Stegostoma tigrinum: one gene and its partners. The protein of the gene in region 2 interacts with the protein of the main gene of each other region in a pairwise test. Links are inferred from orthologs where the notes say so. Each region holds a gene or a part of one and is shown on either strand. Other genes may lie near its edges.

Region 1 (7,332 bases), on a different chromosome or scaffold from region 2:
TCTGTGTGTATATGTGTGTGTGTGCGCGCATGCATGTAAGTAAAAGGGAGGTAACAATGGTGTAACAAAATGTGGAGCTGGATGAACACAGCAGGCCAAGCAGCATCTCAGGAGCACAAAAGCTGACGTTTCGGGCCTAGACCCTTCATCAGAGAGGGGGATGGGGAGAGGGTACTGAAATAAATAGAGAGAGAGGGGGAGGTGGACCGAAGATCTGAAATAATCAATCACTTTTGCCAAGTACAGAAACCTGGTCTGTGTTTTCTGTCAATCTGGGCCTAAAAGACACGTAACTTAGGGGATTCTGCATACTTTTTAAACTCTAACTTCTAGGAACAGTGGGGCTTGATTTTCAGCGTGTGATCCCAGCAAGGTGGAAAAATTTTCCAATACATCCATGGTGCAGTTGGCAGAATTCCACAGCACCAGAAGCATGCCATGGCAGCTGAGATTCAAAAGTGCTCAACTGAGATGGAACAAAGGGTAAAGGAGTTGAAACCGACAATGTCTGTGAGGAAGTCTGAAGCTGCTCTTGGACCCTTAGGGGCTCAGGTATTGATGGAGGAAATTGGACCTTTTGACCAAACCCAGATAGAGGCTTCCCATGTATATTTCCTTGATGCTATGGAGGAAGGAAGCAGTACACCTAGTCAGATATTTTATTTGTCGATCTGTAGGAAATCTGTAGACAGATTAAGGAAAACACGAGAAACACCTGATGCTCCAACAAAGAATGGATTGAGGACACACAGCTGGCCATGGCATTCGTAGGACTCAACCAGAGTGAGAAGGCAGAATTCATGACAGATGGGCAGAAAAGCACATCAGAAATACTGGGAAGACATCTAAAATCTACAATAGTTCTTTGAGGTACTGACAGAGGTCTAAGGGGACAGCAGCTGCCTCTCATAGCTACAGCAGAGGCTTTATGAGTATAATGAAGCCGAAGGTGAAGATTTCATTTCTGTATCCTTGGAGCTGGTGGTAAATTTGTTTGATCACATTGTCCTCCTGGGTCCCTCTTTCAATCAACAAGTGGGCCTAGATGAAGTAATGAGGGATGGGACTGTCCAAATGGATTGGAGGAGGCTCAGTAGCAATAAACCTCAATTGTCCTCCTTTGAAGCAGAAGAGCAGTCATCTGGAAAGGTTGGACTCCATAGACCAGGAACGAGGCTACCATCAGAGGGGTGGCTATCAGCATGGCTAGGAGTGTAGGCCTCAGGCTGAATAGGCACTTGGAATAGGTTGTGACCACAGCTGGCCTGTCTCCACAGGAAGTCTAATGGCAAATCCTGCCCAAGTGATGCTCCAAAGACTTGCCAGAGTAGTGACAGGGCTGGGCAATTCAAATGAAATTGCCCTCAATAACCATGGCTGCGACCACCATCAGGAGTAGAGATCCCATGTGGTGCTTTCACAGGTTCAAGGCCAGAAAAAAAAAATGGCCAAGCTGTACAAGAGGAATATGGAGAAATAATCCAGGTTGAAACTCAAATGTTTGCTTTGAGACGGTGATTTCTCAGAAGTTCAGAGACAGTCTGATTTCACAGAGTTTAAAGCTGACAACAACCCATTCAGCAACTTTTAAATGTCTTCAAAGCTGAGTGCAACAGAAACCAGGAAACATGGGACTTTGGGTGACACAATGCCTATGAATCAGTCAAAGGCAGTATTCCCACCTCAGTTCCCTCTGACTTTCAGACTAAGATTCCCAATGCACTTGACTGAGATCCAAACCAGGTCCAGACTGATAGATGGATGGGGTGAGGGTCCTGGAATAAATAGGGAGAGAGGGGAGGCGGACCGAAGATGGAGAGAAAAGAAGATAGGTGGAGAGGAGAGTATAGGTGGGGAGGTAGGGAGGGGATAGGTCAGTCCAGGGAAGACGGACAGGTCAAGGAGGTGGGATGAGGTTAGTAGGTAGGAAATGGAGGTGCGGCTTGGGGTGGGAGGAACGAGAAATACACCCACCCTCCTGCAAAAATTCCATCCCCTAGTCCCAATTCCTCCGCCTCCGCCGCATTTGGTCCCAGGATGAGGCATTCCACTCCCGCACATCCCAGATGTCTAAGTTCTTCAAGGACCACAACTTTCCCCCCACAGTGGTCGAGAACGCCCTTGACCGCGTCTCCCGCATTTCCTGCAACACATCCCTCTCACCCTGCCCCCGCCACAACCGCCCAAAAAGGATCCCCCTCGTTCTCACACACCACACCACCAACCTCCGGATACAACGCATCATCCTCCGACACTTCCGCCATCTACAATCCAACCCCACCACCCAAGACATTTTTCCATCCCCACCCTTGTCTGCTTTCCGGAGAGACCACTCTCTACGTGACTCCCTCGCTCCACACTGCTCTCCAACCCCACCACACCCGGCACCTTCCCCTGCAACCGCAGGAAGTGCTACACTTGCCCCCACACCTCCTCCCTCACCCTTTTCCCAGGTCCCAAGATGACTTTCCATATATAGCAGAGGTTCACCTGCACATCTGCCAATGTGGTACACTGCATCCACTGTACCCGGTGTGGCTTCCTCTACATTGGGGAAATCAAGCGGAGGCTCAGGGACCGCTTTGCAGAACACCTCCACTCGGTTCGCAATAAACAACTGCACCTCCCAGTTGCAAACCATTTCAAATCCCCCTCCCATTCTTTAGATGACATGTCCATCATGGGCCTCCTGCAGTGCCACATTGATGCCACCCGAAGGTTGCAGGAACAGCAACTCATATTCCGCTTGGGAACCCTGCAGCCCAATGGTATCAATGTGGACTTCACCAGCTTCAAAATCTCCCCTTCCCCCACCGCATCCCAAAATCAGCCCAGTTCATCCCCTCCCCCCACAGCATCACACAACCAGCCCAGCTCATCCCCTCCCCCCACTGCATCCCAAAACCAGCCCAGCCAGCCTCTGCCTCCCTAACCTGTTCTTCCTCTCACCCAACCCTTCCTCCCACCCCAAGCCGCACCTCCATTTCCTACCTACTAACCTCATCCCACCTCCTTGACCTGTCCGTCTTCCCTGGACTGACCTATCCCCTCCCTACTTCCCCACCTATACTCTCCTCTCCAACTATCTTCTTTTCTCTCCATCTTCGGTCCACCTCCCCCTCTCTCTCTATTTATTCCAGAACCCTCTCCCCATCCCCCTCTCTGATGAAGGGTCTAGGCCCGAAACGTCAGCTTTAGAGCTCCTGAGATTCTGCTTGGCCTGCTGTATTCATCCAGCTTCACACTTTATTTTCTTGGATTCTCCAGCATCTGCAGTTCCCAATATCCCAGACTGATAGAGCCCTGTTTGGTTTCACCTTTGCCATCTATCGCAAAACAGGGCCCTCAGACGGTCCAGGAAGGCACAACATCGACAAAGCATGCACCAGCTGTTCAGGGAGTCCAAGCAGGAATGAAAACTGTTGAGGTGCTGAAAGAGGATCGGTGGGGAGGATGGAGTCCTCTACTGGCTGGTTCATAATAAGGAGAGAGAAGTGAAGTAATTCATCTTTCCTGACAGCTTCAAGTGCCAACTGTTAGTAATGACTGACAAGTAAGCAGGACACCAAGTGACAATAAAAAACCACTTCCCTGACCAGAAAGCAGTATTCTGGCCTGGGATAGCTGCTGCTGTGGAAATTGTTAGAGGTGCACTTTGGCCAAGCTGGAAAGTGGTTGCGCCCCATCATGGGATCCCCATCACCAAGAGGCCACTTGGAGTTCCTTGCAATAGATTTCATGGTCTTCAACTCCAGTAGTAATATGCTTGAGCCATTCTCATACTCAAGAATGTCTTCATCAAGATCATGCAGTCCATTCCAACCTGTGACCAAAAGACCTGAATTATAACCAGAGTGGTAAATGTATTTCTCATGACTCACAAAACAAAAAATTAAGAAATCATCATCCTTCTTGATGCTGCTCAATATTCCTGATGGTGTTTGGCTTTACATATTGGGATGCCTTCCGGATCAAGATATTCTACAACCTAATGAGTGTGATCTGCCACAAAGCTGTATCACATGGAAGGTACCAACACAAATCAGAGGCTGGGAAGGTCCTCTCAAGCAAATACTGGATGTCGCCTCAAACCCTATCATTTGCCAAAATTGGTAATTCATTAAGAGAATGTGGACATGAACAGTGTAGCCATAATGGTACAAATGAACCTGACCACATAACTGCTTGCTCAGAGGTCACTGTGGGCTGTGTGTAGTTGCCAGGATGGGCAAGCATGTAATGGGGCCTCCAGCAGGTGGCAATGGTGAGGGAGGGCATCCAGCAGAGACTTAGACCGGTCTAGTTGGTGCTCTCTGGAGGAGAGGGTATCTTTGTCAGAAAGAGTCCCCATGGAAAAAGGAGAGACAAAGGATTTCCTCAAACTGGTAAGAACTATAAATGTAATTCTATGTGAACACTGGTTTTCTGGTTGAACCTTAAATCCTTTTCAAATGTGTAAAGATCTGATGTCAGTGGAATGAAAAATCATTGCTTCATGATTTTCAAGTTGTCTGTATGCTTCAGTTAAGTTTTAAAGCAGAGCTGCAGGTTGCAATCTCACCAATGCCCTGTACCAAATTATTAAGATTTGATTACCTCTATATTCCATCCTGCTTACAATAAAGTCTATTACAACTTCCTACTGTACCTGCATGCCAATATTTTTTGAGTCAATTACAAGGACACCAAGATCCCTCTGTACCACAACATTCTGCAGTCTCTCTCCATTTAAATAAAATACAGTGTTTCTGGTTTTCCTGTCAAAGTGGACCTCAAATTTTGCCACACAAATTTTGGCATCTGCCAAATTTTTGCCCACTTACTTAATCTATCTACACCATTCTAAAGATCTTTGTCTTCCTAACAACTTGTTTTCCACCACAGCAAACTCTACCTCCCCATCTTCATCAAATTTGGCTCCAGTACAATTGGTCTCTTTATACTGATCATTGTAGGTTGTAAATAGTTGAGGTCCCCGCACTGATCCCTGTCACACTCGTTACAGTTTACCGATCTGAAAATGTCCCATTTGTCCCAACTCTATTTTCTGTTAGTTAGCTTATCCTTTATCCATATCTCACCATTGCTTTTGTGCATTATCCTTTTATGTGGTATCCTATCAATTATTAAAACAAATAATACAAAGAAAGGTAAGGATTTCTGCTCAGGCACAAAATGGACTTTGTAATTTTTTGGGATTTCATTCCCACCCCAAGTCCTTCAGCAATATTTCATCTTATTTAGCTTCATACAGTTCTGATTCAAGAGTGTCGCATCAAATGGTTAATATGGTCCCACCCACTGACAGGGAACAAGAGGGTATGGACGAAGGAATAGGGAATGTGTTTGAAGAAATGTAATAATATGCCATTAGTGTACTGACTGGCTTGTGGTAATCATTTGACCTCTGCTGTACATGCATTTCTGTGCAACATGTGGATAGCCATTAAATATATCACTTGAATCCTGGTGTCAGACTAGTATAACCGAAACTGTGGAATTGCAGAACTGGAAGAGAGTGAGAAAATGAAAGAGACAGCAAAGAAGGAGTAAATCAAATTATGGAATGAGTCTAAATGGCTATTTATTTTCCACTCCCTGTTACTACGGAAATGAAGGGATATATGAATTAGAATTGGAATTTTATTCACTCTGTGGCAAAACTGTGAAGGAGCAACAGAATTGTTTCAACAATTAAGCCTGAGCACATAACAATTGCAACCCTACCGTTAATGCTGGGGAAAAAGTGTTATCAGCTGTATTACAGTCTAGGTTTCAGCAAGAAATATCAGGGAGAAAAGATTTTCAATGCTTTGAAGGCACGCTTTTAGTCCCGTATTTATGTTACATATGAATGGTATGTGTTAACATCAGAGTTCAGGAATGAGGGAGACTGTTTATCAGGATGTGACCACATTGATATATCAAGTTGAATCCTGTGAATTTCGATAACTGAAAGTTGATCTCCTCCAAAATAATATTGTCTTAAGCATTAGCGATCCTAAAGTGAGAGCAGGTTTGCTGTAAGAGGAGACATTTACTTTCAAGAAAACTTTTGATAATGCAGAAACTCTGAGGTTGACAATTTGCAGCTAGAGTGTAAAATGGAAGAGCAGATGATGGTTTGCATTAAGGTGAGAGACATTCCAAGCTGAACAAGAGCACCAAACTGTGAGAAAGGAAAGGAAGAAATATTAGTATAAAACCTGCTGGTGGTTCAAAAAGTAGTGCAAAGAGTGCGCCTACACAAAGAAGAAATCATCATTATTTCAGGAACAACAGAAATTCTTATAATGACTTTAACATGTGAAAGTTTAAATGAAACAGAAACTGATAATGTTAATTGCACTTAGGATCTTTTTCCAAGATATTTTGGGTGGCGTCCCAAATATTAACTCCTGTAAACTTCAGGAAGATTAACAAGCCCAAAGTTTAGCAGAAAAGCAATGATGAAGAGAGTATTTATTGAAGTTCTGCTCTGAGTTACAAACTAATTAAAATAATCAGCCAAAAAGAAAATTTTTCTGCTTAAATAATTGCCAAAAAGGACCTTGTGCCAGCACCCTGGACTGATTCGTTCAATCCTTTTGAAGTAGATTGGTTGTTTAACTACATTCAAGGGGCTATACCAATATCAGTTGCTATCAAAGAATGGGTCATTTGCTTTCATTGCTCAGACCTTTTGGGTTGGGACATCACTTTGAGATTGTCCAGGACATTGATAAGGCCTCTTCTATAGTACTGTGACCAATTCTGGATGGCCTGTTATAGGAAGGATAATGGAGGGTTTGAGTTACAAAATGAAATTGGAAAGTCTGGGACTTTTTTAACTGAAATTTAGGAGGTCAAGGGGAGACCTTATTGAGGCTTATAAAATCACGAGGGACATAGATAATGACAAACGTCTTTTCCCTTAAGGGAGTTCAAAACCAGGGGACATATTTTGAAGGAGAAAGATTTAAAAAGGACATGAAGTGCAACCTTTCTTTAAATAGAGCGTGGTTTGTGCGTGGAATGACCTGCCAGAAGAAGTGACGGGTGCAGGTACACTTAGAACATTTATAAGACATTTGGATAAGTACATGACTAGGAAAGGTTTGAAGGGATATTGGCCAAGCACAGATAGATGGGACTGGTTTAGTTTGGGAATACCATCAGCTTGGATTGTTTGGGCCGAAGGGTCTGTTTCAGTGCTGTACGGCTCTGACTCTTACGGTTGCTGGTTACGATCGGCAGCAGGCAGGGAGACTTCAGCAGGTATAATCAGAGATAATGGGAACTGCAGATGCTGGAGAATTCCAAGATAATAAAATGTGAGGCTGGATGAACACA
Region 2 (7,151 bases):
GGAAATGTTGTTGTATTGGAACAATTAATTATTAATATGTACTGTATCTATTATTCAGTTAAGTCACTCTAAATTCCTCTTTCTTTTGTTTGTATTTTAACTATAGTGTTTAAATAAATTGTGTTTTGCTTAACATCAAGTAGTTTGACCAGTTGCAAAAACCTGGAAACACACACTTCACATCTATCTTCAAAATAAGAAAAAGTTAACAGTTTAGGCTACCTTCTTAACATGTTTTGAGACAGTCTGGTCTCGTCTGGTCAACAACACATAACAGGGACTGTGCAGTGATCGTTCCCACCAATACTGTTAAGGACAAATGCATCCGCAACAGGTAGATTAATGAAGATAAAGTAAAGGAGGTAACCCCCAGTGTTGGTTCTCTCATTAGCTACTGCGAGCCCAGTCTGAAAGCCTGTTCCTCCAAAATTCTATCACCTCAGTCAGTGATGGTGCTAATGGGCTACTAATCCTGATCAACATTGAAGTCCCCTTTCAGGATGACCAACTTGAAGGAAAAAAAATACAAGGTATGCTTTACTGGAGGAGTTGATGAGACTGGAGGAGTAGGGGCCCATATGACTGGAAGGAGAAGGAAGCTTCAAAGGAAAACTTTATGCAGTTTCAACAAAGTCAAGGGGACCAATATGACTATCTCAGTTCACAGACGTTTACCATCACGACATATTTCATATATTTTACTTAGCCTCCCTCCTTGATAGTATGTGTTGTCCCTCAAAAGGCCGCATACTCCTGATACATCACATTGCTGCCCAACCTCCCTCCCTCTCGCCAATATTAAAGCCCCTCTCTGCAAATTCCTAACCCCATCTTCAAGGGCCTGCTAGTAAATTCTCTTTCTGGCCTTCAAGTAAACTCTCCATCAGGCCTGCTCACCTTTTAGGTTTGCCAGATACTTCTTCAAGTCTGTCAGCTCTATCAGGGTACCTGGTCCCTATGTCCAATCAGGTCCGTGTGAATCTCACCCCATCTGCAGGTCTGCCTTGATCCTCCTCACCCTCCAGGCCTGCTATCCTTGATTCCAGAGTTGAGAGAGCTGGATTGTGAGGAGAAACTGAGCAGACTGAGATTATACTCATTGGAATTCAGAAGAATGAGGGGAGATCTTATAAAAACATATAAGATTATGAAGGGAATAGATAAGGTGGAGGCAGGGAGGTTGTTTCCGCTAGCAGGTGGGACTAGAGGGCAAAATAAAGGGAAGCAGATGTAGGAGTGAAGTCAGGAGGAACTTCTTCACCCAAAGGGTTGTGAATCTGTGGAATTCCCTGCCCAGTGAAGTGGGTGAAGCTACCACACTGAATGTTTTTAAGGCAAGGCTAGACAAATTTTGACCAGTAAAGTAATTAAGGGTTATAGTGAGTGGGCAGGTAAGTGGAGCTGAGTCTCAAAGGTCAGCCATGATCTTATTAAATGGTGGGTAGGCTCGAGGGGCCAGATGGCTTACTCCTGCTTCTAGTTCTTGTGTTCTTATCCCAAACAGCACCTGGACCTGACCGCTGCTGCCGCCACCACCAACTGTCAACACAATATCTCCCCATCCCCAAAGTTGGGCTTGAGAGTTCTGCAGCTGCTGGCCTCAACTCCTACCCCACACCAAATTACCTCTGGATCCCTCCAAACTCAGCCACCCGTTTGCCAAACTGATGTGACTCTGGGAAGAGTGAAAGATAGCACACTTGTTTACTTCTTTGTGTCTGTATGGACTCGTGTTTATGTGTGCACACTTTGCTGACTTTGGACTGCCCATGTTAATTCAGCAAAATACTCAGGCAGCAGCAAGAGGTGACTTGAGGTGCCTTCTCAGTCACTGATTAGAGGAACCGGGGAAGAATAGCATTTCAAATTAGCTTAAATTCTATATTTAGGAATGGAAGCCAAACTGACACCATCCCTGAAAACTTGGAAACAAAAATCAAAATAACTCAAAACACTATGTCTGGCAGCATCTGTGGAGGAAAAGCAGAGTCAAATGTTTTGTGTCCAGTGACCCTTCTTCAGAACCTTCAGGGTTCACACCATTGGTGAGTTTGAGGACGAGGACCGACACCGCAGTATAGCATTCTATCACAAACCTACGCATAACCTTACGGTGCCACACTTCTCTAGCTTCCACCAGAAACCTATTAAAACAACCATCCCTTATGGACAAACCCTACACATACACAGAATCTGTTCAGATAAGGAGGAGTGAAACTGAAACCTAAAGGTGTTGAAGGACACCCTCATAAGAACAGGATACAATGCAATACCCATCAATAGCCAGCACCGACATGCCACAGTGAAAAACCGTAATGCCCTCCTTAGAGACAGACGTGGGATACATCTGACACAGTGCTCTTTGTCATGCAGTGCTTCCCAGGAGTGGAGAAACTCTGCCACGTTGCTCACAGCCTTCAATGCATTATCAATGAGGATAAGCACCTCACCAAGATCTTCCCCATGCCTCCACTTCACGACCTCAAACAACTGCCCAACTGTAAACCATTGTTCGCAGCAACTATCCAACCTTCTGGACAATATTGATGACAAGTCTATACAACCCTGTCATTAGTAGCTGTTGTAAGACATATCAGATCTTCAACATGGACACTTGGGAGCACGTGGGAGAACTACCCACCGTGTGCCTGGCAGATACTCACGTGACTCAACCAACAGTGTTTATCTCATATGCTGCAAGGAAAGATGCCCCAAGGCATGGTACATTGGCGAAACCATGCAGACACGACAACAACAGATGAATGGACACTGCACAACAATCATCAGAAGGAATGTTCCCTCCCAGTCGGGGAATACCTCAGCGGTAAAGGACACGTTAAGCCTCGGATCTTCAGGTAAACAACCTCCAAGGTGGGCTTTGGAATACACAACAATGCAGAGTCGCTGAACAAAGATTGATAGCCAAGTTCCATATACATGAGGACAGCCTTAACTGGGATCTTGGGTTCATGTTGCATTACAGGTGACCCCACCACACTCAACTCTCTCTCTCTCACACACACACACAGTCTCTCTTTCTATCTTCCCTCACACATAAATACACACACTTTCTCTCTTTCTCTCACACTCAATCTTTCTCTCCCCCCTTCCCCCACACACACTTTCTCTTCCCCATTCCCCCAAACATACAGACTCTGCCTCTACCCCCAAAACACACACACTCTCTCTCCCCCTCCCCCCCCCCCACACACCCAAACACACCCCCCACACACTCACTGTTTCTCTCTTTCTCCCCAACTTCACTCACACACACAGTCACCCTCTCTACCCTACCCCCAAAACGTCAGCTTTCATGCTCCTCTGATGCTGCTTGGCCTGCTGTGTTCATCCAGCATCACACTGTGTTATCTCAGATTCTCCAGCATCTGCAGTTCCTACTATCTCTAAACAAGGTCCTACACCTAATATGCGTTGTGTGACCTAAAATGTCACCTCCTCTGTATACTGCAAAGATCTTTATTTCTCTCAGGACCGTGTCTTGAAAGGAATCTGGCGATTTACATATACATATTAATCAATTAAAACCTTCTAATTGATTTAAAGATTTAGCAGCATCTTAAGATTTGTTTAGTCCATCCTCAGTGGTGTGACCTTTTGATCTTTTACTTATAAATTCAATGTCTGATACTACCTATTTCACTAACACCTGAAGAAGGAGCGACGCTTAGAAAGCTTGTGATTTCAAATCAGCGTGTTGGACTCCTTTTCTGATGAAAGGTCTAGGCCCGAAACGTCAGCTTTTGTGCTCCTAAGATGCTGCTTGGCCTGCTGTGTTCATCCAGCCCCATACTTTGTTCTGTTGGACTACGACCTGGTGCTGTGTGATTTCTGACCTTGTCCGCCCCAGTCCAACACCAGCACCTCCACATGATTTCTGCAGATGCTGTCAGAGTTGTTGAGCTCCTCCAACATCCGCGGTTCTTTGTGTTTATTATCCGAAGAGTCTGGTCTGCGCTGCTGTTGAACACTGGCGTGTCACAAAATGGTTAAACATTAACTGTGTTTCTGTCTCCACTGGCGGTTTGAGCATTCCTCCAGCAGTTCCGAACTGTTCTCCATCGTTTTGCTGGGATGACGCCGAGTCAGCCTGTGCGCGGTCTCCATGGTAACCGGTCCGGTTGCCCGGATGTGGTGACGTGCCAGCCGCTGTCATGGCGGCGGAGGATGGGTATGGTGGCGAGCTCACTCAGCATGTGGTCGAATTCGTTGAGAAAGAGTTTGGAGACGATCCGACATTATTAAAGAAACTCCCAAAAATAATAGAGGAGCTAGCGCTGAGTAAAAGAAACCTGGAGGAGCAGGTACTGCGCCTGGGCCTTGTGGAATCCACTTGGCTTAAATAATTTCACGGTCTTTCCTCCCCGAAACGTGCATCAAAATAAATGCCATGCACACTGTGAATAAATAAATTTAAAACCCTAGCTTGAGTCTCAGGTATAAGACATTAGGTCTTTATTGAAATTGGAAATGTGCTAAGTATTTCCTCAATGCTAGTGTTTCGCTATTGAAATCACTACTTTTGAAAGAGAAATTGCACGCCTGGTTTATGTCTCGATCAAAGGAGGATAACTGGTTATCTCTCTGGTCAAAACAATGTGCAGTTATTGAGCGGACCTACCAGTATTTACCGTCGCTCATGTCTGGTATATCTGAAATATCTCTCGTTGTCCATAATGATCGTTTCAACAGAACAAAACATTAGCTTTCATCGAATATACTTAGACGTGCACTTTTCATACTAAGGCATTTATAAAATGGTGCCTTGTTGATCTGTATAACAATTTTTTTCACAAATTTGGAATGCCAAAACAGATATTAAGCTGTCACTCTAACTTTTTTTGCCATGTGTATGTGTTACTCAATATTTGTCATCCGTCCTGAGTTGAGCAGGAAGAATCAAACCAGATTGCTGTATGACGGAAGCCATTTTTTGGTTAGACTGTGATTATGTTTGTCGTAATATAGTTGAATTGTCAGGTTTATAGTGACCAACAAGCTGAAGGACCACCTGACCGGCAAAACAAATAGTCAGTCAGCCACTTGTTATCTTTTCTGTTCCTATTTCCTTATGTTGCCTCTAAGCAATGTTGCATTCTGGCCTGTGAGCCCGATAAAAAGAAGAACAGTAGTCCGAATGCTCAAGTAAATTTCTACAGCAGTCCTAGTGACACTGTGAAAGTGATAACTGAAGAACTTGGTTTGGTTTAGCTGCTCATCAGTCGTTTTCACCAAATAGTTGAACCCAATCAATAAACAGCACTACATGGCTTCCATTTTAGTTTTGAAATGTGCAGTTTTCTGTATGTGGGTGATTTAGTAACGTCCAAAAGTATTCAACACTCATTTTGATTTATTTGTTGAAATAAGCAATTGTAAACAATAGGACATCATTGACATAAAATGAGAGATTACAGAAAGTGTGGCCATGAACAAAAATTTTATTCAACATCTGGATGCTGTGTCTGGAAATCGCAGATGATTGATTGTAAGCACTTAGGGAGCAGAAGTCAATATGTAGAGATTTTTCCATTCTTCTCCATACTGGAATGTCCTATTTGTATCAATTCTAATAAAAAAAAGAGTTTGACCATTGTTTTTATTTAAAAATAAATTAGAGTACGCCATTAGAAACAGAGATCTTTACTTAGCAGTCTGTCACCACCATTTTACAGTAAATGCAGCATACTTGCTCTATGGATTACAAAACCCTCTTGAAGCTGTCCTTCTGACTCTAAGCATATTGATCTTGATTGCTGATGGTTTAAAATTTCATATCTAAAAAAGATTGTGCATCTGTTTATTTAATTCTCCACATATTTTGTATCAAATGGCAAATGTCATAACCTGATGACCACAGGTTTGACAAGTATCAAAATCCTATAGGACCATGCTGAACTCGAGCAGAGACACTTTGATTCCAAGTGAACCACGTGACTATTTACAACAATGCGTCATTCTCATTTGGTATGGCAGAATTTGAAATTAGCGAGTTGCTATTTCAATAATAAATTCTGAATAAATTAGAGGCTATAAAGGCCAATTGTGGTTTGGTACATTACCTATTTTAATTCTTGGTGACCGCATGATTGCTAGTAGAATTTTCATTGCGTAGTTTCAATTTTTATACAATGTAATGGTTGAAAAGAAAACCTTTTAATGTTTAAATCCATTAGCATAAGAAATGGAAATAGTAATGTGCCGTTCAGCTTTTTTGAGCCTGCCCTGACATGTAGTGAGACAGTGGCATGTCAATAACTTCTACTTCAACTTTGTTTTCCCACCCTATCCCTTGTCCTTTCATTCTCTCAATATCAAACAACAGATCTCTAACTTGAATATGATCAACAACCAAGCAACCATGACTCAAAGATTCACATCAAAGTATCTTGGATTACGTTTGGGAAGTGTGGAACATTCATTTTGGGTGCGAGGTCCTTTAAAATTATCTTACACTGCGACACACGTATTAAATTAAAGTGGCCAACTTGTGCACATCGAGCAGTTGAGGGGTAACATGGTTCATAGTGCTTTGAATGAAAACCTTCTCTACATCTCAATCCTAAATGGATATTCCCTTATTCTCAAGTGGTGAACCTTAAACCTTCAATCTCCTTAACGAAGGGAAGTATCCTCACAATATCTCGTTAAGCCTGTTGGGCAATTTCTGTTACAATTTGATCACCCCCTAATCTTCAAAACTCTAGGATATATAGGCCCGCTGTCTTCAATCTGTTCTCATCATACATTAAGACTGCAGAACCCATTGTTGTACTTACTTTAAGCATGTATATCCTTTATTGGGCATAAAGATCAAAACTGTATTCTGGGTGCAGTCTCAATGAGACCCCTTTCAATGTAATGGCTTGTTTATTCTTATACTCCAGATGCTTTTTAGTACAGATTAACATCTTGTTTGCTTCTTAATTGCTTGCTGTATTATTGGTTTACAGATACATATGCCAGCCCAGTTGGTGCTGTTGTGGCACAGTGGTAGCATTCCTATCTTTAGGCCAGAGGTTTGGATTCAAGTTCCACTTGCTCCAGAAGTATGTCATGACATATCTGCACAAGATAACTAAAAACAAAACTTCCAGTTCCTCTGATTGTCAACATTTTCCATTTTCTTTCAT
Region 3 (7,866 bases), on a different chromosome or scaffold from region 2:
ACAGACCATTTGGAGCTGTTATTATAGTCAGAATGAAGTCCACTAGGCCCACAGTATCTGTACCAATTTGTTGCTACAGCAACCAGAATCTACTCAACTAATTTACGCACTCAACATAGCCTCAGAGTAATGACTTATGAATTTAAAACAGAGATGAGGATTTGTTTATTTCAGAGGGGCAGTGCATCTGTGGAATTTTTATCAGATAGGACTGTTGAGATTAGGTCTTTAAGTACACTCAAAGCTCAGACGGACAGGTTTTAATTACTAAGGGAATCAAGTGTGATGGAGAAAAGGCAGGGCGAGTGGAGTTGAGGACTATCAGATCACCCATGATCACATTGAATCACAGAGCAGACCAGATAAGCTGAATGACCTACTTGTGCTCCGATGTCTTATGGTCTTAAAGTCTGTGCTGTTATATTTAAGGCAGGGCTGGTGATTGAGGTTGCAAACGGGGAGAACTTTGTGGTCAGTGACCACAATTCTGTTAGCTTCAAAACAGTGAAGGAAAAGGATATATCAGAACTAAAAGTTAAATTTCCAGGTTGGAGGAAGACCAATTTTGACAGTATTAGGCAAAAACTTTCAAAAGCTGTTTTGCAGATGTTTGCAGATAAAGGGATGGCTGGAAAATGGGAAGCCTTTAAAAATGAGATAACGAGAGTTCAAGGATAGTATGTTCCTGTTGGGGTGAAGGACAAGGCAGGTAGGTGTAGGGAATTTTGGACGACTGAAGAAATTGATGCTTTGGTCAAGAATAAGAAGGTATAGACAGCAGGAATGGAGTAAGTCTCTAGAAGAGTATAAAGGCAGTAGGAGTATACTTAAGAGGGAAATCAGGAGGGCAAAAAGGGACATGAGATAGCTGGCAAATAGGAGTAAGGAGAATCCAAAAGGATTCTACAACTACATTAAGCACAAAAGATTAATAAGGAAGAGAATAGAACCCTTTAAAGATCAACAAGGCTGTCAATGTGTGTAACAACAGGAAATGGGGGAGATACTAAGTGAGTATTTTGCATCAGTGTTTATTGTGGAGAAGAAATGGAAGATAGAGAACATTGGGAAATAAATAGCATCATCACAAAAAATGTCCGTATTAGAGAGGGGGAGGTGCTGGATGTCGTGAAGTGCACGAAGGTGGATAAATCCCTGGGACTAGATCAGGTGTACTCTAGAACTCTGTGGGAAGCTAGCAAAGCGATTGCTGGGCCCCTTACTGAGCTATTTATACCATCAATGGCCACAGGTGAGGTGCCAGAAGCCTGGAGGTTGGCTGATGCGGTCCCATTATTTAAGAAACATGGTAAGGAAAAGCGAAGGAACTATAGACTGGTGAGCCTGATGTCAACAGTGGGCACGTTGTTGGAGGGAATCCTGAGGAACAGGATTTACGTGTATTTGGAAAGGCAAGGACTGATTAGGGAATAGTCAATATGGCTTTGTGCATGGGAAATTTATTTTTTAGGTTAGATTAGATTCCGTACAGTGTGGAAACAGGCCCTTCGACCCAACAAGTCCACACCACCCCTTGAAGTATCCCACCCAGACCCATACTCCTATAACCCACACACCCCTGAACATTATGGGCAATTTAGCATGGCCGATCCACCTAGCCTGCACATCTTTGGACTGTGGGAGGAAACCGGAGCACCCGGAGGAAACCCACGCATACCCGGGGAGAATGTGCAAACTCCACACAGACAGTCACCCGAGGCTGGAATTGAACCCGGGTCCCTGGTGCTGTGAGGCTGCAGTGCTAACCACTGAGCCACCGTGCCGCCAATTGTGTCTCACCAACTTGATTGAGTTTTTTGAAGAAGTAACAAAGAAGATTGATGATGGCAGAGCAATGGACATGATCTGTATGGACATCAGGAAGGTGCTCGACAAGATTCTTTATAGTAGACTGGTTAGCAAGTTTAGATCACATGCAATACAGGGAGAGCTAGCCATTCAGATATAGAACTGGCTCAAAGGTAGATACAGAGGGTGGTGGTAGAGGGTTGTTTTTCAGACTGGACACCTATGACCAGCAGTGTGCTACAGTGACCGGTGCTGTGTCCACTGCTTTTTGTTATTCTTATGACTTGGATGTGAACGTAGGAGGTATGGTTAATAAGTTTGCAGATGACACCAAATTTGGAGGTGTAATGGATGGCGAAGAAATTTACCTCAGTGTACAGTGTGATCTTGATCAAATGGACCAATGGGCTGAGGAATGTTAGATGGAGTTTAATTTAGATAAGTGTGAGATGCTGCATTGGGAAAGTCAAATCAGGATAGGGTTTATACACCTAATGGTAAAGTCCTGGAGAGTGTTGCTGAATAAAGAGACCTTGGATCGCAGGTTCATTGTTCCCTGAAAGTGGAGTCACAGGTAGATAGGATTGTGAAGAAGGTTTTTAAATGCTTGCCTTTGTTGGTCAGTGCATTGAGAATAGGAGTTGGGAGGTCATGTTGCTGCTGTGCAGGATGTCGGTTAGGCCATGTTTAGAATACTGTGTGCAATTCTGATCTCCCTGCTATAGGGAGGCTGTTGCAAAACTTGAAAGAGTTCATAAACATTTACAAAGATGTTGCTCAGGTTGGAGGGTTTGAGCCATAGGGAGAGGCTGAATAGACTGGGGCTATTTTCCCTGGAGCATCAGAGGCTGAGGGGTGACCTTATACAGGTTTATAAAATCATGAAGATCAAGGTCTTTTTCCTGGGGTGTGGGAATCCAAAAGGGCATAGATTTAAGGTGAATGGGGAAAGATTTAAAAGGAACCTAAGGGGCAACGTTTTCATGCAGAGCGCAGTGAATGTATGGAATGAACTGCCAGAGGAAGTGGTGGAGGCTGGTACAATTATGATATTTCAAAGGTATCTGAATGGGCATATGAATAGGAAAGATTTAGAGGGATATGTGCCAAATGCTAGTAAATGGGACAAGATTAATTTAGGATATCTGGTCAGCATGGATGAGTTGGACCAAAGAGTCTTTTTTCATCCTGTACAGCTCTATGACTCTATTTTGCTTCTAAAGTCTGTGTACCTCCTCCATTAAAGATATGATGGTCTCTGAAACTGCAGCATATGGCATGCGGGTTAAGGATATAGGAAAGATAAGTTTGATGTCTCCTCTGTCTTATTCCTTGTTTTAGCTGTGCTTTTGTATGAGGAACCTGCTCCTTCCATAACCATTTTCTTTTGAATGAAATGAAAGAAATAGTTGCCAGCAGAGTGATCCTGGTTACAGCCTTCCAATGTTTTGTTGTGTATACACATGTACACAGATCTGTGAGTGCGTGTTCAAGACAGACTCGTCGAGGAGTAAGCTTAACCTGAAGTTTAGTTTTCTTTATTACATTATTTATTACATATTAAGACTAAATACTACATTTCATGGTATTCAGGGATATACTACACTGTAATCTCACTAAGTAAAAATCAAAAGAACTGTAGATGCTGGAAATCAGAAACAAAAACCGAAATTGCTGAAAAGGTCTAGCAGCATGTGCAGAAGGAAATCAGAGTTAATGTTTTGGTCCAGTGACCCTTCTTCAGAACTAATAGTAGCTAAGGAAATGTTGGGCTTTGTATGCATGAAATAGGGTGGGGGGAGGGAGTAAGGAGTAAACTATAAGTGGCAATAGATTTCCAAAAGAGAGAAGAAGTCACACAGACAAAGGAGTGGATAGCAATCAGGCTGCAAGGGTGAATAGCTATTAATGGAGACTGTTAATGGCTAACAATGGGTTGTGTATTGTAGCAAACCATGTGATAACAAGGCCTGGTGTGTGGGTAAGGACATGGGAGAAGGTGGCTGTATGGTTCCCAAATCAAAAATGAGGTGCTATTTTTCCAACTTGCATTGAGCTTCACTGGACTACTGTAATTTTACTATTACTTTATTGAAAGAGATGGCTCCAAAACCTCCTAATGTTAGTCTGTCTACTCCTCCTTCTTCTACGTAACTGTTTCTATCGTCCGCAAGATTAGACTTCAGGCTTGTGTTGAGCTCCTGGTGTGTTTCTCTCTTCCTCTCTCCTCTTAACTCCACCTCTACTGTGCTATTTATACCCAGTGAGCTACAGCTCTGAGACATCACTGGAAGATTGGACCATGGTTTTAAAGCCTTTACACCACAAGGAAGTCAAAGGTTTAATCTCTTGGAGTTGGTTGATGTTGCATGAATGAAGACCATGTTGTACAACAAGCCTTACATTAAAATAAATTATAAATCAATAACATACATAAGCAAAAACAAATTTTAGTTTTACCAGGATAACAAAGTGTGTAGCTGGATGAACACAGCAGGCCAAGTAGCATCTTAGGAGCACGAAAGCCGACATTTCGGGCCTAGACCCTTCATCAGAAAAGAGTCAAGGCCCGACACATCAGCTTTTGTGCTCCTGAGATGCTGCTGGGCCTGCTGTGTTCATGCAGCTCCACACTTTGTTGTCTTGGATTCTCCAGCATCTGCAGTTCCCATTATCTCTTCGGTTTTACCAGCACTGGAATCGTCAACTTGATGTGTAATTGGGTGTAATTTGTAATTTCCCTTTAATTTCAAAGTCAATAACTGTTGTGCATAAGGGGTGAATTGAAATTTATAATTTAAGAAATATCCTGCTCAATTAATTCAGTACTAAGTCCATGTTCCATATGTAATCTTCTGCCAGTCTTCAAATAATAAAGCCAAGATTAAAGAAAAATACATGTTCTTGGATTTTGGTGTTTTTTTTGGTCAAAACTGCTTCTGGAAGCCAATACATCCTTCCCTCGTCAAATCGCCTAGAGCTGAGATCAGAGGGCGGTGCTAGCCATTCGACGGTAACTTGGAAACAACAGTAAACAAGGTCATTCTCAGAGCGGCATTTCCGGGAAATTGACTCGAGTTATTTCACACAATGATCACACCGTAGTTTATGAGTCTTGTTCTGTTTCAGTTTTACAAAACCAGTGAGGTACTGTAGTGAAATGAATAACATGCGGACTGTGCTGATTGCTGTACAGGTTAAATTTATCCTTTGTATTCTCATAGTGTTCGATGTTTTCCTATCCCATTGAAGTACTCTGCCGATAACAGGGGAACACATTGCAAACAACCAAAAAATCCCGAACTATCCGGTGAGTTGTCTTCTCCGAAAATGGTACCTGGGGCAAGTCAGGTTTCACTTGGCACAACCGAACCTGGCCCAATTTATCCTGTGCATTTCAAGCTTGTAAAATATCTGTATGCATAAATCTTCGGGCGATTCACTGATGAATTTACATACTCAAGGGAAACGACGTGCTGTTTTGAAATGAGAACAATCGATTCCTCTGTGTTCTCGGAATGTGTAAAGCAGTAAATATTCAACTTGTTAAATCGTTGAACGTGTGTTACTGTTTTCGTGCACGGCTTGCGAAACTCTTGTTGTCACAAAGGGAAAATAGGAGACAGAGCCGCTACTCGGACGATTTGTGCATTTTTTTTAGCCACGGCTGTTGAACTACAATATAATATCTGGGAGCTGAAGTAGGCCACTGGGCCTGGCGAGACTGTTCTACCTTTAAATCAGGTGGTGGCTGATCTGATAATCCACAACTTCTGTGCCTTATCCAACCCAAGATTCCTTTAAGAATTGACAATTAAATAAAAAGACTCAAGAAGCTTGAAGCTCCCCAGCCCGTTGGATTGGCACGGGATGCACAAACACCCATGCCTCCACCATCAACACTCAGTAACAGCAGTGTGTACTGTCTACAAGGTGCACTGCAGAAATTCACCAAGGCTCCTTTCCAACACTTTCCAAACATATGTCCAGTACCATCTCCAAGGACCAGGGTACAATCACCTGCAAGTTCCCCTCCGTGCCCTTCACTATCCTGATTGGTTTCTGTGCTGTATGACTCCATGTCACCATTCCTTCACGTTCACTGGGTGAAAATCCTGGAATTCTCTCCCTAACAGTATTGTGTGTCTACCTACAGCACATGGATTGCAACTGTTCGAGAAGGCAGTTCACCACCACCTTCGCAACAGCAGTTAGGGTTGGGCAGTAAGTGCTGGCTAAACCAATGATGCCAAATTCTACAAGTGAATAAAAAAAATCTGCTTATTTCAGCCGTGAATATAATTAACAACCCAGCCTCAACAGTCCGCTGTGGTAAAGAATTCCGCAAATTGATTACCTTCTGAAAAGGAAAAATTCTCCTCACCTGCATCATACATGGATGACTCATAACTCTGACTTTATGTCCTCTGGTCCCAGACTATCCCACAAGGGGACATAATTTTTCTGCATTTCCCCACTAATGCTCCTAAAAATCTTGTTTCAATAAGATCACTCCTCATTCTTCGAAATCCCAATGAGTACAGGCCCAACCTTGTCAACCCTTCTTCATAAGAAAATCCCTTTACACTGGGGACCAACCTAATGAATCTTCCCTGAACTGCCTCCAGTACTTGTATATCTTTCCCTAAATAAGGGGATTAAAACTGTTCACAGTATTCCAGGTGTGGTCTAACCAGGGCTATGTATAGTTTTAACAAGACTCCCCTATTTTTATATATCTTTATACCCTTTACAACAGATTCCAACAGTCCTTCCCTTTTACCCGCTGAATGTGGATGATAGAGTTTTGTGAATCTTGAGCAAGGATCCTGAATACCTCTGTGCTGCAGCTTTCTAAGTCTTTTCCAATTGAAATAATGTTGAGCTTTTCTATTCTGCCTGCCATTATTAGCTATTATCACCTTGTGGTGGTGAGTTGCATGCATTTAAGAAGAGGATAATCCTGATCACCATTACATTAATTTCTGAACCCACAGAGATTATTACTGACAATCTTCTCACAATAGTCTGGCAAAATGTTTGAGATTCAACATATATTTCCTTTAAAATAATTAATTAGCACTTCAAGGTTAACTTTTGTTAAGGAAAATGCAAAATCTACATTGCAGAAACATTACAAATGAAATCTTTAGCCCAAACAACTCATGGAAAATTTAATCTGCCAGGGAGGAGGAACTAGAAGTATTGCAGCATTGAAGCTAAGTAGATTGTGCATGATATGTTAGATGTATACTAATATGTCTTCTGTGTTGTCAGTGTGATTTGTGACTTAAGATACTGAAATACTGAAATCAAATCTCAAAGATCAAATTAATGAATAAGAATTCAACTGAGCACGTAATGTCATACCGCATTTCAAAGCATTTCATTGACTTACTTTGTTTTCTGTCTTCTCCTCTTTTAGCGTGTTGGTGACTAATTTGAACTTCATTTTAAAAATGTCTGCAGAAAACCTTTTGCTGGTTCAGATACCAGGGAAGTAAGTGTTAGACACATTGGTTTACACTGTACTGTTATAATGCTGCAGTGATTGAACGAGTTTCCAGCTCCATGCATGATTAGAACAGGAAACAGTTTGTTCAACAGTCCATTGAAAGCAACATGTTAGCGTTAAAAGACTCTAATTATATTTCTTGAATTAATGCATTTAGCAATCTTAGTACAAACAAGAAGGCTATTATTATACTGAGGTAAAATTTTGATATGAGTTGACAGAGAAAATCAAAAGACTAAATTTTCGAGCTGGTGTTGGACCCTAAAAACAGAACTAATTTGGGGTGTCAAACTTGGGCATATTGTCAACGTATCCTTCCACACTAAGTTCTGGCAGGTAGGAACATAGGAATAGGGTTGGGCCATTGGGGCCCTCAAGCACATTTTTCCATTCAAGGAGATCATGGCTGATCTGTGGCCTAACTCCATATACCTGCCTTTGGTCTATATCCCTTAATACTCTTGCTTAATAAAAGCTTATGTATCTCATATTTAAAATGAACAACTAATCTGGCATTAATTGCCATTTGTTGAAGAGAGCTT
Region 4 (7,862 bases), on a different chromosome or scaffold from region 2:
ACAATAACATACATAGAGGCTGCAAGGAAGAATCTCATTGGTGGAGTTTGTGAACATCCTTAAACAGATCTTCGAGGAAGCAATGTATTTTCAAAACAGTCTGTACTGACAGAAATTTTGTATTCAATTTGATTATTCCAGATCTAAAATAATTGATACTTGTACTATAATTGCTATTGTTAAACATAAAAGTGTGTTTAATATACTGATATGGAAGTAAAGATCAAAAATTGAAAACATAAACCTTTTCCATTTGCTTGACTGCTTTGTGCATTGTTCCCTGTGGCACTGAGCAATGAACAACAGGAGGAAATAATGTGCCAGAAATTAAGCCTGTTGAATAGTATCAATTGCACCTCGTTCTGAGCAGAACTATTCTATGATTCAATCCAGTTAGTTATACAACCAGTACCACAATATGACACACACACTGTAGACCTCAGTGTCTATACCTCAATTGAGGCCATGCTGGGAGTGTACTTCCATGGATGTTGGATGAGGGTAGGATTTTGCTCAGCTATGAGTCCACAAAAGTCAAATCATATGCTAAGGCTTCCTGTCCCTGCTGACATTTCATGATTACTTGTTTGAAGTGCTATACATTAGCCAGCGCTCTTTGAACAGTCCACGCTCAAAGTACAGGAAAATTTAAAGGGAGAAAACACGATGCAGACATTTCAATTGCAATTTTGTATATCTACCAGTAGAGGCCATCAGAGTATTTACAAAGTGATAATGGGAGCTGCAGATGCTGGAGAATCCAAGATAACGAAGTGTGGAGCTGGATGAACACAGCAGGACAAGCAGCATCTCAGGCCCAAAATGTCAGCTTTTGTACTCCTGAGATGCTGCTTGTCCTGCTGTGTTCATCCAGCTCCACGCTTTGTTATCGGCGTATTTACGTAGCCTGCTTAGCGCTACTAAGAGCTGTGTAAGTGTGGAAATCATTGTCACAATTTAGGAGTAGAAAGTATTTAGGAATGTTGTGAAGAGATTAGCCACCTGACCAAAATGGTACAGTTTCCCCAGGGATTCAAATACCTCCAGCTGAGACAAGGAAAGGAATTTGAACCAAATTCACTGCTGGGAAAACTCTGGTGATTCAACTGGGTTCTACACACAGCTGAATGGAGAAGTCAATAGACAGCTAAATCACAGAAGGTGTGAAACCAGTATCCAAAGTGATTCAGTCAGTTTCCCAATGTCAGGTTCAGTTAAAATTGCCCCATTACATTCTTTTTGGAAAGGCTGCTGACCAAACTGGAATTGATATGCACCCCCAGAGCGGGAAGGAAGAAAGGTAACCAACATTAATACTTGGAAATGAACAGAGTGGTCTTACTGAAGTGTACAAGATAAATCTGGCTGGTATGTGCTATTCACAAGTTTTGCTGGCCTCTCTTTCTCTTTGACTCCAGCCAGATTGCACTCAACTGCTGTCCTGTTCCCATAGTGTTGAATATGCCACAGACACTTAAGTGTCATAGAATACCTACAGTGTAGAAAGAGGCTACTTGGCCCATCAAGTCTGCAGTGACCCTCCAAAGTGTATCCTACCAGGCTTGGCCCTGTAAATCTGCATTTTGCGTGGCTAACCCACCTAGCCCGTACACTACAAGCCAATTTAGCATGGCTAATTGACCTAACCTGTACATCATTTGACTGCAGGAGGAAACCAGAGCATCCAGAAGAAACCCATGCAGACAAGGAGAGAATGTGCAAATTCCACACAGTCAACTAAAGCTGAATTGAACCCAAGTCCCTGCCACTGTCAGCCCTCCATCCTGGTTCTCATATTAGAATGGTCACTTTGGGAGAAGCCGTTGTCCATTGTGTAAGTATTGTAACATTTCCAGAAGAGGAGATGGAAAATCTTCAATTCAAATACATTTAAGAAGTTAGATAATCAGATGAAGAAGAAAGGAATAGAAGATTATCCTGATAGATTGAGATAAGGAAGAGACTTGATGGGAAGCATGAATGGGCTAGGTCAAATGACCTATTTCAGTGCATCTATGTCATTCTATGAATTCTTACTTCTCCTTAAACTTACACTACGTACATTATCCTGACACACTGACTCCCTGACCATCAGGCCAAATGCTCCTGTAAATTGCCTATTGATTTTGAAGTATTTTGACATTGTTGAGCCTTGGATTGGAACCTTTAAGGATATGAACATTAATTTAATCACCAGAGTGTAACTACATGAAGCAACTGCATTGCAGAGGAGACAGAAGGTGAATGAAGGACAATGCAGAAAATGATTCCTGTCAGGCTGCCATTTATAACAGCTTCTTTAAAATAATAAAACTTAGAGAGCCTGGACATTGAATCAGTATTAATAAGTGTGCAGAGCACACTGCAGAAAATGTTTGCTTATGTTGAATCTTAGGTGAACTGATTTCAAAACCAATTTATAATGAGGTAGTGTTTTTCAGATAATAAACATTGTAAAGTTGCTTACTGGAGATGAGAGGGCAAGAGCAGGAAATGGGAAATGTATTAACTCACATGTCATTCCAATCTCTGTAAGTTCCAAATCATGTTTCTTTCTAAGAACACTGTTCTTCCAACTGGGAAAAACCATTAAAACTGGTGAATGAGACATAGTGGTCCAATGGGTCTTGGATACTTCATAATGATGGTCCAGTCCAACTAGTGCATTACTACTGAGATATTAGGAACTGCAGATGCTGGAGAATCTGAGATAACAAGGTATAGAGCTAGATGGACACAGCAGGCCAAGCAGAATCAGAGGAGCAGGAAAGCTGATGTTTCAGACCTAGACCCTTCTTCAAAAAAATTTTCAGAAAATTAGTTTTGCCAACTTGTTAAACTTTTAAGACAATCCTTTAAAACCTTGCATGGACAGTGTGGTTGTACATGAGGTGTTTAGGAAGGTCTACTACAGCAAGTAAGCCACTGGTGAAAACACTAAACACTCTAGAACATGTTTTTCACAGTTTTCACAATCTTTTAATACAATAATATTAAAACTAGCATTTTCAAAATTAGATAAATGTTTATTTGAAGTGTTCATTCACAATCTGTAGTATGTTTGTGTAAGGGTTTTTTAAAAAAATTCTGGATTTAACAAATTAGGATATCTGCAAAATGGTTCTAGCTAAATTTGTAACAATAATAAAGCACTATTACATTTTAGAATGGATATGGGAATGAGCTGTATTGAAATTATTACCCACAATTTAAAGTCTGTTCAATGAGTTGCTGAATCTGAGGAAAACACCATGGGAGATGCACAATTTATAACAGATAAGTTAAAGTCAATTAGACATTAATTTATGAAACAATACTTAGTTCAAAGTCTCAGAGATAGTAGGAACTACAGATGCTGGCGAATCTGAGATAACAAGGTGAGGAGCTGGATGAACACAACAGGTCAAAGCAGCATCATAGGTGCAGGAGAGCTGACGTTTCGGGCCTAGACACTTCTTCAGAAAATCTTCTGAACATTTTCTGAAGAAGGGCCTAGGCCCGAAACATCAGCTCTCCAGCTCCTATGATGCTGCTAGGCCTGCTGTGTTCAGCTAGCTCGACACCTTGTTATCTTAGTTCAAAGTCTGGCTTTGATCGCATTGCATACTGTGTGATTAGTCTTTCTCATTGACAAAAGTATCACAGAATGGTTTCAGTGCAAAAGGAAGCCATTCAGCCCATTATACCTGTACCGGCTCTCTACAACAGGAACGCAACCAGTCCCACTCTCCTACATTTTCCCTGTCATCCTGCAAATTCTTTTCTTTGGGTAATTATTAAATACCGTTTTGAAAGCCAAGACTGAATCTCATAATACAGAAAAAAAATGTGCAGCATCATATTTTAAGTCAGTCATCATTCCAATGCAAAACATGTTATTTCTAGCACCAGAAGAGTCTCAGTGGGTAGTGAATTTAACTATTGGGTCATAAAATTGTGAGTTCAAGATCCATTCCCAGAGTGTCCCCTAAAAATCAAAACTTGTCAATCCAGTGCATACTGGGCTGTCAGATGTGACATATTTTGAATGACACCTGAAACTTAGGCTCTGTCTGCTGTTGGGTGGATGTGAAATATCGCACGGCACTTCTTGGAGGAAAAGTGACGGAACTGCCCCACAGGCCGTGTCCCGATCCCCCGTGTTATTTGTCAATCAAGATGATAGTCACTGGATTGCTGTTCTGTGGGAATCCTGTTGTGCACAAATTTCTGCTGCATCTCCCACTTCACACCAATTTGCTTCATTTTTAAGAAGGTGCTTCATCAGGTTCCAAGCGATTTAGGGCGTGATGTCAATGCAGCACCTTTTTGTTGCTCATTGCCCATAGCATGGGCTTTCTTACGGGCATCTGTTACTCAAAAATAATGATGACATGGTGGTGCCCATGTTGGACAGGGGCAAAGTCAGAGGTGACACGACACCAGGTTATCACCCAACAGGTTTATCTGAAAGCTTGCAACACGCTACTCCTTCATCAAAAGAAAACTTCACCTAATGGAGGAGCAGTGCACTGAAAGTTTAAGATTTCAGATGAACGTGTTGGATTATAAACTGATGCCATGTGACTTCTGACATGAAAAACAATGATGTAGTCCTTAGGAATGTGTCAATATTTGTTGGGCCGAGCCCGAACAAATGAAGTTTGAAAACCTTATTTCAAGATGGCTCTGTTCTCAGGGCTGTGGGAAACAAATTAACACTGATAATAACTGCTGGATTAACAATTACAATAGTTAATTCTGGAATCTCGTTGAGTTGGGTCACTAATTTGAGTATTTTGGGTTGTACAATGATACAGGCAGGAGGGTGCAGCATTGCTTTAAGGGGCGTGGCCGGGCTGGTTGACGTTAGGCCGGCAGGCGCCGCCATTGTGGGAGGTAGGTGTCAGTTCCAGGCTCCACTGATACTCCGGGGCCTAGGCCTCTCCCTCCCGGTACGGAGCCGCTCCGGGGACCCTCACGGGACATTTGGATTGCCGCCTGAACTTTAGTTCGGTTAGTGCTCTGGGGCCTTTGTGCCAGGGTTAAACCTCAAACCTTAACCTTCTGTCCCCACCCGACACCCACAATCTACCCCATTCCCCACCCCAACAATCATCCTCCCCCCCACCCCCACAATAATACTCCCCCCACCCTCACAATCCTCTCCCCCCCCACAATAATCCTCCCCCCACCCCCACAATAATCCTCCCCCCACCCTCACAATAATCCTCCCCCCACCCTCACAATCCTCTCCCCCCCCCACAATCATCCCTCCCACCCCCACAATCATCCCTCCCACCCCCACAATAATACTCCCCCCACCCCCACAATCTACCCCATTCCCCACCCCTACATTCCTCCCCTCACCCTCACAATAATCATCCCCCCACCCCCACAATCATCCCACCCCCACAATCATCCCACCCCCACAATCATCCCACCCCCACAATCATCCCACCCCCACAATCATCCCACCCCCACAATCATCCCACCCCCACAATCATCGCCCCCCCCCCCAGCCCCACAATCATCGCCCCCCCCCCCCAGCCCCACAATCATCCCCCCCCCCAGCCCCACAATCATCCCCCCCCCCAGCCCCACAATCATCCCCCCCCCCAGCCCCACAATCATCCCCCAGCCCCACAATCCCCCCCGTCACTCTCTTCCCCCCCCGTCACTCTCTTCCCCCCCCCCCGTCACTCTCTTCCCCCCCCCCCGTCACTCTCTTTCCCCCCCCCCGTCACTCTCTTTCCCCCCCCCCGTCACTCTCTTTCCCCCCCCCCGTCACTCTCTTTCCCCCCCCCCGTCACTCTCTTCCCCCCCCCGTCACTCTCTTCCCCCCCCCGTCACTCTCTTCCCCCCCCCCGTCACTCTCTTCCCCCCCCCCGTCACTCTCTTCCCCCCCCCGTCACTCTCTTCCCCCCCCCCGTCACTCTCTTCCCCCCCCCCGTCACTCTCTTCCCCCCCCCCCGTCACTCTCTTCCCCCCCCCCGTCACTCTCTTCCCCCCCCGTCACTCTCTTCCCCCCCCCCGTCACTCTCTTCCCCCCCCCCGTCACTCTCTCCCCCCCCCCGTCACTCTCTCCCCCCCCCGTCACTCTCTCCCCCCCCCCCGTCACTCTCTTCCCCCCCCCCGTCACTCTCTTCCCCCCCCCCGTCACTCTCTTCCCCCCCCCCGTCACTCTCTTCCCCCCCCCCCGTCACTCTCTTCCCCCCCCCCGTCACTCTCTTCCCCCCCCGTCACTCTCTTCCCCCCCCGTCACTCTCTTCCCCCCCCGTCACTCTCTTCCCCCCCCGTCACTCTCTTCCCCCCCCGTCACTCTCTTCCCCCCCCGTCACTCTCTTCCCCCCCCGTCACTCTCTTCCCCCCCGTCACTCTCTTCCCCCCCCGTCACTCTCTTCCCCCCCCGTCACTCTCTTCCCCCCCCGTCACTCTCTTCCCCCCCCGTCACTCTCTTTCCCCCCCCGTCACTCTCTTTCCCCCCCCGTCACTCTCTTTCCCCCCCCGTCACTCTCTTTCCCCCCCCGTCACTCTCTTTCCCCCCCCGTCACTCTCTTTCCCCCCCCGTCACTCTCTTCCCCCCCGTCACTCTCTTCCCCCCCCGTCACTCTCTTCCCCCCCCGTCACTCTCTTCCCCCCCCGTCACTCTCTTCCCCCCCCGTCACTCTCTTGCCCCCCCCGTCACTCTCTTGCCCCCCCCGTCACTCTCTTGCCCCCCCCGTCACTCTCTTGCCCCCCCCGTCACTCTCTTGCCCCCCCCCGTCACTCTCTTGCCCCCCCCGTCACTCTCTTGCCCCCCCGTCACTCTCTTGCCCCCCCCCGTCACTCTCTTGCCCCCCCCGTCACTCTCTTGCCCCCCCCGTCACTCTCTTGCCCCCCCCGTCACTCTCTTGCCCCCCCGCCACTCTCTTCCCCCCCCCGCCACTCTCTTCCCCCCCCCGTCACTCTCTTCCCCCCCCCCCGTCACTCTCTTCCCCCCCCCCGTCACTCTCTTCCCCCCCCCGTCACTCTCTTCCCCCCCCCCGTCACTCTCTTCCCCCCCCCGTCACTCTCTTCCCCCCCCCCCCGTCACTCTCTTCCCCCCCCCGTCACTCTCTTCCCCCCCCCGTCACTCTCTCCTCCCCCCCCCACTCTCTTCTCCCCCCCCCCACTCTCTTCTCCCCCCCCCCACTCTCTTCTCCCCCCCCCCACTCTCTTCTCCCCCCCCCCACTCTCTTCTCCCCCCCCCACTCTCTTCTCCCCCCCCCCACTCTCTTCTCCCCCCCCCACTCTCTTCTCCCCCCCCCACTCTCTTCTCCCCCCCCCACTCTCTTCTCCCCCCCCCACTCTCTTCTCCCCCCCCCACTCTCTTCTCCCCCCCCCACTCTCTTCTCCCCCCCCCCACTCTCTTCTCCCCCCCCCACTCTCTTCTCCCCCCCCCCACTCTCTTCTCCCCCCCCCGTCACTCTCTTCTCCCCCCCCCACTCTCTTTCCCCCCCCGTCACTCTCTTCTCCCCCCCCCGCCACACTCTCCTCTTCTCCCCCACCCCGCCACCCGCTCCTCTTCCTCACCCCCCCGCCACCCCGCCTCCCGCTCCTCCTCCTCACCCCCCCGCCTCTCCCGCTCCTCTTCCTCACTCTCTTCTCCCCCCCCGTCACTCTCTTCTCCCCCCCCCCACTCTCTTCTCCCCCCCCCCACTCTCTTCTCCCCCCCCCACTCTCTTCTCCCCCCCCCACTCTCTTCTCCCCCCCCCACTCTCTTCTCCCCCCCCCACTCTCTTCTCCCCCCCCCCACTCTCTTCTCCCCCCCCCCCACTCTCTTCTCCCCCCCCCCACTCTCTTCTCCCCCCCCGTCACTCTCTTCTCCCCCCCCCCACTCTCTTTCCCCCCCCGTCACTCTC

The links.
Region 1: the proteins of rint1 (region 2) and sfr1 interact in binary tests that used the Homo sapiens proteins (3 or more experiments, as listed by UniProt). The two-hybrid records come from large-scale screens. The link is inferred for Stegostoma tigrinum from reciprocal best matches to the Homo sapiens genes RINT1 and SFR1.
Region 3: the proteins of rint1 (region 2) and fam81b interact in binary tests that used the Homo sapiens proteins (3 or more experiments, as listed by UniProt). The two-hybrid records come from large-scale screens. The link is inferred for Stegostoma tigrinum from reciprocal best matches to the Homo sapiens genes RINT1 and FAM81B.
Region 4: the proteins of rint1 (region 2) and c30h19orf25 interact in binary tests that used the Homo sapiens proteins (3 or more experiments, as listed by UniProt). The link is inferred for Stegostoma tigrinum from reciprocal best matches to the Homo sapiens genes RINT1 and C19orf25.

The regions. Positions count from the first base shown.
Region 1 is NC_081373.1:15,987,255-15,994,586, reverse strand, and holds the start of sfr1 (swi5-dependent recombination DNA repair protein 1 homolog), read left to right. Parts: upstream 1-4,329; 5' UTR 4,330-4,385; intron 4,386-7,332. UniProt on the Homo sapiens protein: Component of the SWI5-SFR1 complex, a complex required for double-strand break repair via homologous recombination. Acts as a transcriptional modulator for ESR1.
Region 2 is NC_081378.1:22,456,498-22,463,648, reverse strand, and holds the start of rint1 (RAD50-interacting protein 1), read left to right. Parts: upstream 1-4,135; 5' UTR 4,136-4,172; coding exon 4,173-4,322; intron 4,323-5,441; exon of another isoform or gene 5,442-5,587; intron 5,588-7,151. UniProt on the Homo sapiens protein: Involved in regulation of membrane traffic between the Golgi and the endoplasmic reticulum (ER); the function is proposed to depend on its association in the NRZ complex which is believed to play a role in SNARE assembly at the ER.
Region 3 is NC_081356.1:88,806,227-88,814,092, reverse strand, and holds the start of fam81b (protein FAM81B), read left to right. Parts: upstream 1-4,863; 5' UTR 4,864-5,119; intron 5,120-7,234; 5' UTR 7,235-7,268; coding exon 7,269-7,309; intron 7,310-7,866.
Region 4 is NC_081383.1:11,326,806-11,334,667, reverse strand, and holds the start of c30h19orf25 (UPF0449 protein C19orf25 homolog), read left to right. Parts: upstream 1-4,853; 5' UTR 4,854-4,995; intron 4,996-7,862.